2 linked regions of the Drosophila melanogaster genome follow. The protein of the gene in region 2 purifies or fractionates together with the protein of the main gene of each other region. This does not show direct contact. Each region holds a gene or a part of one and is shown on either strand. Other genes may lie near its edges.

Evidence for each region.
Region 1: the proteins of lin-52 (region 2) and mip120 purify together in Drosophila melanogaster (affinity purification with western blotting; 2 studies listed by BioGRID, with this or other methods). This does not show direct contact.

Annotation. Positions count from the first base shown.
Region 1 is NT_033778.4:13,508,049-13,515,088, reverse strand, and holds mip120 (Myb-interacting protein 120), read right to left. Parts: upstream 5,472-7,040; 5' UTR 5,393-5,471; coding exon 5,362-5,392; intron 5,301-5,361; coding exon 3,853-5,300; intron 3,795-3,852; coding exon 2,881-3,794; intron 2,793-2,880; coding exon 2,653-2,792; intron 2,586-2,652; coding exon 2,260-2,585; 3' UTR 1,977-2,259; downstream 1-1,976. Other genes in the region: mEFTu1 (mitochondrial translation elongation factor Tu 1), read right to left, coding at 5,876-7,040. UniProt on the Drosophila melanogaster protein: Component of the DREAM complex, a multiprotein complex that can both act as a transcription activator or repressor depending on the context. In follicle cells, the complex plays a central role in the site-specific DNA replication at the chorion loci.
Region 2 is NC_004354.4:5,751,467-5,758,005, forward strand, and holds lin-52 (lin-52), read right to left. Parts: upstream 3,493-6,539; 5' UTR 3,419-3,492; coding exon 3,379-3,418; intron 3,324-3,378; coding exon 3,150-3,323; intron 3,076-3,149; coding exon 2,971-3,075; intron 2,891-2,970; coding exon 2,736-2,890; 3' UTR 2,183-2,735; downstream 1-2,182. Other genes in the region: Rtel1 (regulator of telomere elongation helicase 1), read left to right, coding at 1-88; CG15772 (uncharacterized protein), read left to right, coding at 1,403-2,182; CG15771 (uncharacterized protein), read left to right, coding at 4,589-4,738, 6,396-6,539.

The DNA of each region.
Region 1 (7,040 bases), on a different chromosome or scaffold from region 2:
ACTACTCCACAACGGAAGCCCACCTTCCTTAAGTAAATCAATTTCATATTTCAAGTTGTTAAAGTTAAATAAAGTATATATATATATAATCATTGAATCTTGTAAAATTGTTGCCCACATTAGCACACACACAAGTTATCTGACAAAAAAAGGGAATATTTGATAGGCTTTTGGTGCCAAATGGTACGTGGAATATAAACACCATTCCATAGAATCTAAAAATATATACAGGGTCTATAAGCGTTCACAATTTTGAATAGAAGTCTTAAGTTGTATTTTAGTTTGCAATTATCTAGTGAGGAATAAAGTCGCTAAATTGGGTGTTCTACAAAATTTAGACTAGTACCCACTGATTATAACTTCAATTCTTCCCACCCAAAGTTTCGGATCTTAGCCCATAAATATTACCGACATTATTTCGTCACTTAACCAGATCGTATTGGATCGTAAGGATATTGCCGCAAGGCACTTGAATGGCTGCAAGTGTCCTTAAGCGTTGTGATCACCACGTAAAATCCTCTTTAAAACTAATGCTCCTCTTCATTTGGGCAATGAAAATCATTATTTTGAACGCATATAGTCCCAGCAATTCTAATCGAAAGTAGTGTAAAGTAAACTATAGCTCTGTAATGGTCGAAAAAGTTTAAAGAAAGCCGACAAAATGTAGTTAATCGCAGGTATACAATGAGGTTATATTGACAAACTGTATATACGAATAGCTGAAATACTTGCTGATTATCATCGTTGTTCTATTGTTGTGAAAGATGAATTACTCAACTAATATCCATAAATTCTACGCTGTGTTCGTTATGACTTTTCACGCTTTGAAGAATTGCCGAATTCAATCATGCAACACGCGTTTAACAATTAAGGTACTCTTCAATGATTGCATATACAATATTACGACAACCTAAGAAAAAGACATTGTACAGGGTATGCAAATCCAACGTACATATACGATATTTAGCAAATGGTTTTGTTCGGTTTTCATAAAGTTGTTGTGTAAGTTTATGCTTTAGCTCCCCTTCTGGGGGCCCAGCATTCAATATAAACGTGTGAATTAGACAATATAGCTTCTAACTGAATAGTTCAGCATACTCTCAATACAAATACATATATATTATGCGTAATCAAATCGTTATTGTTGCCTAACTATGTTCAAATGTTGCATAAGTGTTACGTAACTAACAATTCACAAGAAAAAAAAGCTGGTATGGGGTCAAACAAACAAACAATGCTAATGCAACTAACCAAAGCGTTTTGTGCACAGTATTCAAATATTCAAAACTATCCTTAAATCGATATACTCAACGTTTACTGTATGTATTTGCTATTTAAGATAATCGCACACACATACTCTCTCTTCGAAAAAGTTCGTATTCGAATGACCGCAAATAAAACGTATAGTTTAGCGCGAGCATATTAGTCAAAACAGTGTATGAAAAATATGTATAACAGGGCATATATATATATATATATATTAGCATTACTAACCACGTATATGTACTATAGTCCTTAAACGATTATCACATTTTTACTCAAACCTTGAAACTACATACATACACACATATGTACTCATGTCATGCCATGCCATGTTTATAGGGTGAGAACCGGGAGAAACCAGAACACAAACATACTTATATGCTATTTATACATACCAATGGTGACCAAGTAGAATATATAACTATACTTAAACAAAAAAAACTACATATATACAAAACTAAATACCTACTATCAATACAATCAACTAATATATGCATTACCTATACTGTAGTCATTCGACATGTGTTTATTTTATAGAGATATTGCTAACTAAGCTGATACCGATATTGTGAAAAACCAAACTAAATTGCGTTGAGTTTAATATACTCGCCCATCAATAAATTTGAAACAATGCAAATGCAAAATACAAATATGTAACTGAAGTTGTTGGTGAATAAACAAGCTACAAAACAACACAACGTCTCTTTTCATTTGTGTTCAATGGTCATTAAACTTTATTAGGTATCTAAATTATTTACATTCAATCCAAGGGAAAAGTTTACAACACAATTACAATGCTCGGCCAAAAATTAAAATAGCCTTATATCTGAAATTTGCTATGTATGATATATACATTTTGTGTTTAAATTATTTAAATAGGGTAAACACTTTACTTTAAGGTCAACTTTTAGAAAGCCAAAATTAGAATATGATTGAGAAAAGGTCAAGAACTCTTTGAACTTATAAACTAATTAATGTGTGACTATATTTGCATGCCTAAGAAGAAGGCTTGGACTCGTCTATCTGAGAGGTTTCTTGCTTTTCCTTGGCAAAAGCGATGATCTGTGTCAGACTTTCGCCCATTTCCTCCATAACCTCGCGCTCCATGTCCTCCACGGCCACATTCTGTTTCTCGTGCATCACAATCCGCGATATCATGCACATGATGGTCGCCTCAATGACATCGTCCGTAAAATATATATTTGCGCGATTCTCGTTCAATTGCTTGTTTTTAGCTTTGTCCTTTTTCTGACCCTCGACACCCATCAATCCGTCCAGAGAGTCCATGTCCACGTCCGGACGGTCTTCCATGTTTCGACACCCTAAATAATAAGTTGATTGATTCAGTTAGTTTGATCATAGATAAAACAGATTTATCAGTTCACTTACCAACGCATTTACATATGCTGGAGCAGGGAATCTTTGCCTCATAGCACTCACAATAGTTCTTGAGGCAGCCCGATCTTTTGCAGTTGCAACCTTTGTTATGCAGACGCATATCACCTGAATTGGGTGCCGTAATTTTGGGTCTGTTTAAAAAAAAAAAAAGTAGTTGTGATTAGCATCTTTAGAAACATAGGATAGACCTCATAAGCTTTTCCTTTCAAATAAACTTACTTAAAGGCGCTGGGGTTACGATCGAGGCAGCTGCGAATAGCACGCTCCCGCTCCACTTCGTAGTCCAGATTGTTAAAGCAATCCTTGCAGGTGCAGTCCTGACAAAACTCGCCGTTTGCAAAGCAATCGCAGTAAAGCTTTAGACACTGCGACTTGCTGCAGTTGCAGTGCTTTCGCCGCGAAGTCATGCCGCCCAATGGATCGACGGCTCCGGCTGCTGCCGCGGTTGCTGGAGGTTTTAGGACTTCAAAGAGCGGCTTGGCAGGTACATTGGCCTTCACCCCCGGAGGCAGTGTCGGCAACTTTGGCTCGACCTTGATCGGCGTCGATTGTTCGGTAGGCAGTTGCTGCTGTCTAATCCGTTGCTTGGCCTGCGCTTGAAGTTGCTGGTGCTTGGACTGCTGCTGGGGACCCATCTGCTTAAAGCGGTGCTGTTGCGGGGAAATGGGTGGCGGGCGTCGCGTCTTGTTTTCCACATATCCAGTGTATCCCCGTCGCATGGCACTCGTCGATGATTGGGGCACACCCGAGTTACAGATCATGTACTTGGCCCCATTGCTTCCAGTCGGTTGAACATAGTTGTAGATTTTCTTTGTGGAGTTGGAACTGGGACTTGTACTGCTAGACACCACACGCTGTACATTCGCTGTCCGATTAATTAGTTTCTGAACTGGCTGGGAAGCTGCCTTCTGTGATCCTTGCTGCATGGTAATAACGTAACGCGGCTTTTTGGCCTCAGGACCCGCATCGCTGCTGTCGCTAGCTTCACTGCTGACCGAGGCCGATTGCTTTAGCTGCACATTGAGATCAGTAAGACGGTGTTTGCGTGGCAACTCCTGGCTGGCACTCGGCGTGGCGCTGCTGCTCGCCGCACTGGCTGGTTTTGAAGCGTTGGAGATGGCGCCCAGCGCACGCTTTAAAGATGGAAATTGAGTTAGAATGAAATAAATTTGTACCAACACAAGTACCAACCTTTGAGACCAACGTCTGCACGGAAGGCAGCGGCACAATGCTGCCACCCATTGATCGCATTACAATCTTGTTAGTGTTGCCCATGGCAAGGTTTGCCTTCGATGCGGCTGCAGGTGAAGCTGCTGCTGCGGATGTTGTAGTAGATGTGGCAGGAACACCAGTAGCAGCCGGTGGCCGCACCACAGTGATCTTCTGAGTTTGCACTGTTTTCGGGATTGAGGCTGTTGCACTTGTTCCGGCGGCACTCTTATTGTTGTTCAGGACACGTACATATTGTATTCCTCCCTTGCCAGGCAGCTGAATAGCGTGCAATCCGCTCGAGGTGGAAGGTGTCTGTCCGCCCGTCGTGTGGGTTGTCGAACTGGTGGCACTCGCATTCGGCGACAGCTTAATGATGTTCTTGTTGGATACAAGAATCTGTTTGCCGCCACTTTGAACCAACATCTTGCCCGGTGTTGCGGATGCACTGGCAACGGAGCCCGTCGCCGTTTTTACAGGAGTTTCTGTTCTCACCACTACCTGGCCAACGGGCTTGTTGAGCACCACATTTCCCGTGGAGGGAGATAGTTTGACAGAAGTGGCGGCAGAACCTCCTGGTGTGACTGTGGTCCCAGTTCCCTGTTTGGCGTTCACCAGCAGTGAGGGACCAGCCTGATTGATCTTGATAATTTTGCCATCGGCAGTGCGCACCACCTGAATTTTGTTGGGCTGTGCCAAAGATGGGGATGTGGTTGCCGTCGTGCTGGAAGTCGACGCCTTCGCAGTGCCTCCGGCCAGCGGTTGGATGCCCTTTAAGGTTATGGCTGAGCCGGGTACCGAGGTGCTTGCTTTGGCAGGAACAGCCGCCTTGACCAGACCCGTGCTTGCCATGGTCACGCCCTTAGAAAGCACTGCCTTCTGGATACCAGAAGGCGCCACGAGGCGTCTTATTCCACCGCTTGGTGACCCTGTCACCGCAGTGCTGCTTTGTGTTCCAGGAACAGACTTCTGGACAAAGATGACTTGGCCATCTTTCGTCCTAATCTGGGTCAAGTTGCCCAAAGTCTTGGTTATGCTGCCCGGTGTGGATTTGGTCGCTATGGTCGTGCTACCGATCTTTAGCGTACTGCTGGGTATTGGTTTCAATTTGTTTAGTATCTTTACGTCTGTAACTTGCGCCTTGGCCGGAGGAGTACCTCCGGCAGTCACCATCTTAATGGCGTGCGACTTCAAAACGGTTAGTCCGGACGAGTTTAACCTCTTGTCCTCCAGTATGTGGACCACGTTCTTCTTAAACTGCGGCGTGTTCAGGGAATCGTTGGCCGGATCGGCCAGATCTTCACCGCCGATATTGTCTTCCTCTGAGTCCAGAGCTTCGATTTCCATGTGCTGGGAACTCTTCTCCGACGTTGGCTCCAAAAAGTCTTCAAAACTCAGCTCCGGCAATGGTTCCGTGTCGTCTAGGGAATCTGCGGACAAAATAAGTTATTAATTACTTTGCAAACAAACGTTTACGGTGCTTGAATCTACCGGTCAAGTAGTCTACGCGGTAGGTACTCATTTTTGCCAATTTTCAAATCAATTTCAAAATGTTCTTTATCATCAGCTGCGTTCAAGGCGGTTGCAGCAGTGTTGTAAAATGTCGTAGTCAGGTTATTATCGGCCTTGTTTGATTTTATCGGCTCCATTTCGATACCACTCTATTTCGGATGCCGTTAACATAGAGCGATAAGCAATCGATGAGTGGCGCCTAAATTAAATATTGCCCTTTATCAATGATCAATGCTTACTTACATAACTTTATATAACAAATAGTCCTTTGAAATGCCGAAATGTCAGGCAACAACAGTAATACTTAAAAGCCGTACTATTTTAAATCAATTTTAAGATCCCTACTAATATTCCAAGTTTTAAAACTTCGTTGTCCATAGGTGTTTGTTTATATTTTACTCGATTGTGATTGGAGCGCCAACAACTTATACAATATGCATAAAAATCGCTTAAGAATATGATTTTAGTTAATGACTGACGGCGTTCCGGGGATCTACTTCTTAGCCGCCACCTTCTTCTCGCGCGCCTTCTTGCCCTCCGTCAACTCGGATCGCTGCGATTCAGTCAATGGGGGCAGAGTGCTGGTGACGACACCAGTGCCCAGGGTCAGGTTTCCGTCACGCAGCGTGAAGCGTTGTCCCTGCTCCAGGACCATTGGCCGGATGAGGCGCAGAATGAGCTTGGTGTCTTCGCCGGGCATGACCATCTCCTTATCGGGAATCTGCACCTGCACGGCACAGTCCCAGGTGCGGGAGAACATCTGCAGTTGGATGAAGGACATGAAGGGCTTTGTGCGACCGCCTTCATCCTTGGACAGGATGTACACCTGGGCCTCCAGCTGATCGAGTGCCTTCACACTGCCCGGCTTGCACATGACCATGCCGCGCTTGATGTCATCTCGCTTAACGCCGCGCACCAGAGCTCCCAGCTGATCACCGGCTTGCGCCTCCTCCAGAATCTGGTGGAACATCTCCACGCCCGTCACCGTCGACTTCAGCACCTTGTTATAGCCCACGAACTCGCACTCCATGCCCTTCTTGACCACTCCGCGCTCCAGGCGACCAGTGACGACGGTGCCGCGTCCGGGAATCGAATACACATTCTCAACAGGCAGCAGGAAGGGCTTGTCCAGCTCGCGCACAGGCGTGGGGATGAAGCTATCCACCTCCTGGAGCAGTTTCAGGATCGCCTCCTTGCCGATCTCGGGACTCTTGTCCTCGAGGGCGCACAGCGCCGAGCCCTTTACCACAGGGATCTTGTCACCATCATAGCCCATCTCGGTAAGCAGCTCTCGGATCTCCATCTCCACCAGGTCGACCATCTCCTCATCGGCGGCGTCCACCTTGTTGATGAACACCACGATGTGATCAATGCCGATCTGCTTGGCTAGCAGCATATGCTCGCGAGTTTGGGGCATGGCGCCATCGGTGGCGGCCACAACGAGAATGGCGCCATCCATCTGGGCTGTGCCGGTGATCATGTTCTTAATATAATCGGCATGTCCCGGACAATCTGTGTGGCCGTAGTGACGCGTCTCCGTCTGGTACTCCACGTGGGCTACATTGATGGTAATACCACGAGCCTTCTCCTCGGGCGCATTGTCGATTTCATTGTACTTCTTGCTCTCGGCCAGCTGCTTGTCGGCCAGGACCTTGGTA
Region 2 (6,539 bases):
CAAAGTGCGCTACATGCTCGTCGGGATGCGGAAGTATCTAAAGAACGAGCACAAGGACGAGTTTGATCGTAGGGTGGGCAATCTTTAACAAAGGGTTAGGTGACTATGTAAAAGAGTTTTCAAGTTTAGTCGTCCCAAGGATATGTTATTTTTTTTTTTTCAAATTTATTGACATTGGCTGTAATTTTCTGATTGTATTTAGTGGGGCGCGTCTAATTCTCCTAAGAATATATATTATTAACAATGCTATGCATTGTTGTACATGCATTTTGAATTTCTCTGTACGGATGTTTATTACTATTAAAAATTATACGTTAATCATGATATTGTTTATAGCTTTGTGGGAAAATGTGGGGTCATATTAAATGCAAATGCAGTTACTCAAAACCGTTTGCATTATGTGCATTATGTTTTCCCAATCTGTTTATTTATTTACCGCTCAAGGTTGACTTAAATCAACAGTCTACCTTTATTGGAAATTTAATACCACTTTTATGTGCATCAAACTTCGATTTCGTTTGCTGATAAGCTGATGAGCTTTAATAAGCTTTCAATCAAATCAAAGGCGAATAGAACAGGGTGCTCGAAAACTCTTCAAATCTTACATATCGTATTTAAATATGAACTCAATTTGTATAATAATATATATATATGTACAATATATGTTTATTTTATATATTTTTAAGCATGATAAATAGATAAGATATCATAGGAAATTGACTAATGCTAAGACTTTTAAGTTCTTGTCTTAAAAACATAAAATTACTTTTTTGTAGACTGCTTACATATATGTTTTTCACATTTATTTTTTAATCTACCGCTTGGGGGGCATACATTTTAGAGTTGGCAGCCCGCTTGGTAACAAATCTGCGAACCGCAGCCAGCGCAGAACGCATCCAATAAGTTCATTGCCAAACGGGCCGAGTCCCTATATGCACATCCACACATGCCCATCGGCTGGCGCGACCGAGTCACCGAGAAAACTGAGCCCGAGTGCAACGAGAATGCGGGTCCGAGTGGCTCCGACTTCGGACTTGGGAAGGCACTCGCGTGGCAACAATCGTCCAGGGCGCACGGCAAACACGCAGAGCTGCCGGAGGAGATAGGCCGCTGCTTCTTGGGGGCCACATTCGTACCCCGATCCAAATCCAGACCCGCTGATCCATCCGCCTCATAAATACACACATAATTTCTGCCGCTTTGATTGGGGCACGCAGTAAGTTGATTGCAATTGCAATTGCCATAGCCTTTGACTTGCTGCACGTTCGCTCTTCGCTGCTCGCTATTTGCAACAAGTAATAATGAGGGCGGGCAGGGGGTGGCTGGGTGTTTGGCCAACGCAGCGACCTTGGCCTGGTTTAGGCACTTGCCTTAAATGCATTTTGTCGTCATTGCAGCGCACATGGTGGAGGAGATTGGCTGCCAGAGACAGACGGGCATTGTGGTCGCCATGCCCAGCCAGGTGGCATCCAACACCGGAACTCCAGCCCCATCCGCCGGCGGCATTCACCAGCAGCATCAGCAGCAGCAACACCAGCAGCACCAGCAGCAGCAACACCAGCAGCAGCAGCACCAGCAACACCAGCAGCAACAGCAGCAGCAACACCAACATCAGCAGCAGCAACAGCAACACCTTCAGCAGCAGCAACACCACCAGCTGCAGCAGCAACAGCAGCAGCAGCAGCATCAACAACTCGCCAGCAACATGAGCCTGCTGACCGTCAAAGGCGGCCGTTACCTTTGGACCGACCGGGAGCTGTTGATGCACCTCCAGAACTACACTCCCCTGATCCTTCTCATCGATTTCGTGGAGAAGACCCGAACCAAGCGCTTCTATGAGAGCTCCGAGCGCTATGAGATACTCATGCTGGTCTTCATCATGCGCAAGGGAGCGCCGTTTTGTGAGAACAAGCGCTTTCCAGCGGAGTACTGGGTTAATCTATCGGTGGGACCAATTGCCGAGGCGTTTGACCGTCTGCAGGCGGCCATCGATATACCGGATCCCCAGCTGCCGATCCACATGAGCGTTACAGATTTGACCAGCTGGAAGCAAATGTTCGACCTGGCCATGCTGGATATACGGCGTTTTGCGTACTACACCGATCCCTTGCAGCTGGCCGATGCGGGCGTCTTTAACCGGATCACCTTTGAGCAGCGATTCGGAATGCAGTGGCAGGAGTAATGGGAATTGATGCACGTTACTGGATATATATTCACGGGAAACAGCATGTAAGCACACCATCAGCACCAACACACTTTCCCAAATTGGGATGGATCGTGGGGAAGGCTACTGCATAAATCCGAACGAAAGCATTTAGTTAAGTATTAATAGGACGCACTAGAGCGCAACCGATCCATCCAATCCCACATAGACAGAGTTATTTGTTGCGTTAATGTCCCTGCATAGCGAAATCTACTGTGCCTTCTCCAAAAACTCCAGATCCTTCTGCATTCCTTTCCCTCCAATCCGTCAACTTCATCTCTCCTCCGACTCCTCAAATGTATCTGTAATACAAGCGACGTGTAGGACCCAAAATGCTTTAATGGAAATAAACGTTAGTTACTGTTCAAACGCCTGCCTATTTATCTTTGTAAAATAGCGATAAATCATTCACAACACGCATTACTCACTATAAAAATAGCACTATGTACACTATGAAACTACACCTATGTTCCTAATGCGAATTCAACGAGATCCTCGACAGTCCCATTCTTAGGGATCGGATCATCCAGCCTCATGGCTGCCGCTTAGGAGCGCGATCCCGGTCAAAGATGCCCAGCAGTTTCCCACGAGTCATCTCCATTGCCTCACGCAGTCCCAGCTGGTAAATTTCATCATGCATTGACTTTATTTTATCGATCAGATCCTCGGGAGGGAGCTGGGCTAGTTCTGGAATAGAAAAGTAGGTAATGGATATGCTATTCTTTAATATACTATTCTTAAATCTCATTGACTTTGCAGCTACTTACCATTAATCTTAACCATATCATCATCGGTCAGATTGCTGGTGTAGTTGGTGCTGCGCGTGTACATCGGCGTGTCGCTCATGGAGAGGAACTCGTCCATTCCGGGAACTGGAGCAATCGAAAATAAAGATATGCGTTAAAAATGGCGCCAATTTCTTCGTGCTCACGTTTTCTACACTTACAACGCTCTGGCCATTGGACAGGTGAGGGTCGCAGAGTTTCCATGGAGATGAGCTCGTCTTCCGGCGTTATGGGCCGCTCCTTGACCTCCGGGACATCCTTTTCGGCCAATAACGTACTACTGCTGGACGCTGAAGCCTTCTCCACTTCCTCGTCCGCCGCTTTTAGAATGGTTTCTGCAAGAAAACCTCGTTTTATGGCGCCTTTCATGTGATTTAAATATTTACTCACCTGTAGAAAGCAAATCCGTAGTTGTCTCTGCGTTGCTCATCGCGGATAATGTTGAAAAACTCCAAAAACTATTGAAAATAAACACGGAAAGATGCCAAAAAATCCGTGGGCTAATCACTTGCCACCTCGTTAAACAAAAACTATAGCGTTGCCACTTTCAACAATCACTATCGAATACTATCGATTTACCGCCAAGCCAGTGCTAGAAAGCACCAGGAAGTATAAAACAACTGATATTTTTGGTAAACAAAGAACTGTTGTTATTGCTTTTCCTGGTTTTATTAATAGAAGTTAAAAATAAATGGCACAACAATTAGGAAATGAGCGTGCCTCGACTTATACTAAATTCAGAGTGGAGAGCAGGCGTCGTAGCAGAGAAACGCGAACCTCTCCGCGACCTCTATCGTGCTCTCTTTTCCACTCACGGTCGTTTAACGGCGCATAGAGACAACTCTGCGCTAGGTCGCCTGCTCTCGTTCGCTCTGGCGCGCAAACGGCACTTGGCACACTTCGCACAGTGGCGCCAAAAAATATGTGCCCGTAAAAAGCACATGTGCTGCGCAGTAGTTGTCCAGAACAACACAACACGGATGTCTAACCAGTTATTGAAATAAACTTATTCAAGAACATCTTAATAATAATATAAAATCTTAAGGAATAACAATATCTTATCAAGTTTTTATCAATTGGCGCCGCCGCCTGGTAGCACTGTTCGCATACGCAGACTTTTGGCCACCACTGTTTTCCCATGCGCCCTCGCACTTTCTTTCGGTTTTTCATTCGCTGCTCCGCTCTCACTCAGTCAACAAGCACTCATACACACGCGCTCACCTGTTCCGCCGCCCCGCTACCCCGTCTCTCGACATTACTGCGACCGCTCCCGTTCCGTTTCATTATTTTTTTTGTCGCTGTCATTCAGTTGCCGTTTTAACTTCGCCGCGCGAGAAGCGGAAACTTTTGCCAGTCCGCTCGAGGAAAATAGAAAAATACTGCAGTGCTGCTGCAGTCGTGCAGCTCGTACATTTCGTTTCGTTTCGTTTGGCGCCAATTTCAAAGCGCAAATCCGCTGGCGGATTGAATTGCACCAAAGTTGTTCTTGGATCTCTACGTTTGCATCCATCCATCTAACCAAGCAACCGGCTACCACCCCTCCACTCCTGACAGTGACCCCTCGCTGACCCTCCATCCCCCCCTCCGCTCGACGACTCTCATGGCAGCTAGCAAATTCCATTGCGGCAAGCAATTGACAGCCACACATTCACATTTCGATGCGACATGTGCGAAAATCAGGGCCTTTTACTTTGACCTGGACAACACGTTGATTCCCACCAGAGCCGGCGATTCCAAGGCGATCAGAAAGGTGAGCTTTGTTAACCAAGCCAAGGCAGACAGCCTCACTGCCCCCTCTGCCAATCACCAATCCGTTGGCGTTTCTTCCGTTTCTTTTCCATGTAGTGTTTGTGGGGGGGCGGGGCGGGGGAGGTGAAAGTGCGCAGCAGGCGGGCGACCCAGCTAGAAAATTTTCCACTGCAGCCCGCCCGTTGTTACGTAGTCGAAAAAACCCGGACGCTCGGCAGATAGCACGCGCCCGAAATTTCGATTGTTTATTTGCGTTCCGATTGATTTCCTTTCCCTTCCCTTCACATCCCCCAGCCACAAAAAAAAAAAAAACAAAAAAGAAAAACTCAGAGTGCACTCGACAAGGTCTTAACTTAAATATAACCACGGGTACATGCACTTTAGAAGGCTAAAACCCACTAAATAATCGGCATTACGTTGGAAATTCGGAATCTTCGGTTTTCGAAATGTTAAAAGGCACTTTACAGGATCTTATCGTGGTGCGCATTATCGATTGCAAACGATTGCAAAAAGGTCGGAAATCGAGGAACTTGCACTTAACAAAAGTTGAACGAAACGTCATACCAACAAACTTTGGAAACCCGCGTCAATGGTTTCTTTTGAAATATAACCTTCTTATAAAGTGAATGGCACACAAAGAAGCTAAAGGTTAATTGATGATAATAGGTAGCACTTCGCAATATGTACTTGTTTGAACGTTCAGAGGCCATTGACTTTATTTATTACAATAAATGAGTCTATTTGCGATCTTAAAAGGTTAAAGTTTTTAGAATTTTCCCTTCAAGAGAGAAAGGTATAAATAGGTATTCTTGAAAATGTGTTCAATGTCACGTACATTTACTCACTCTTGCATTCCAGATTATATCGTTATCTTTTAAGCTGCGCCAATTTAGATAGTTAACTTCATTATCACGTTCATGTTTCAATACGCTCAATGTTTGAAGACCCCAAATAAGACGGTTTCTTTATTCAGTTGCTTTCAATTCTTAGCGAGCGAAGCCACGCCCATTTATATTTCGGAACTCATGACAGTTTTTGTGACTAATCGCAATGATTTCAACTTAAATTCCTAGCATTCAAAATGACTTTTGTGAGCTTAGCTTCCTGATTTGAGTACGATTCAATAGATGCGGATGGTTGGGCCGGAAAATAGATAGCGAGTGGAAATTTCCAAGCTATCATTGCGATCATAAAATATAGTATATTCTCATATATTACTCATGCTGCAAGTGTACCGGCGGCAATTGCAGTTTGATGTTCAATCCCCTGATAGTACGGCGATGCTATAACAATTTTGGAATTAATCAATTGGCTTCGGATTCGATCGAATGATTGGATTGGTCAATCTGACGCTTAATTGAGAACTTTATGGACGTAATAGTTTTGATTTACGTTCTACCGCGTTTCGCAAAAGATTATGCACGTATTGAGGCTTCTAATCGCTTTTATTAATATTAACTCTACTTTCAGGTTGTTCACTTCTTATTGCGTGAAAGTTCTTAACTTATCTCGTCTTTAATTCGTCATAGCGTATTTATAGTTTTATCGCGGTTGAGGTTTTTACGGCACTATCACATCTACGCAATTTTGTATATTTTTGAATTTATGTAACGCAATAATAATGCGAATTGCCAACCCTTTTCCAATTTCGTTCTTAGCTCGCTGATTTTCTGGAGACCCAATACCAGTTCAGCAAAGATGACGCAACACAGGCCACCCAAAACTTTCTAAAGGCCTTCCGCCGCTGTCCCGATAACTCGCAAACATCGCTGGACTCGTGGCGCACTCACCTGTGGCGCGAA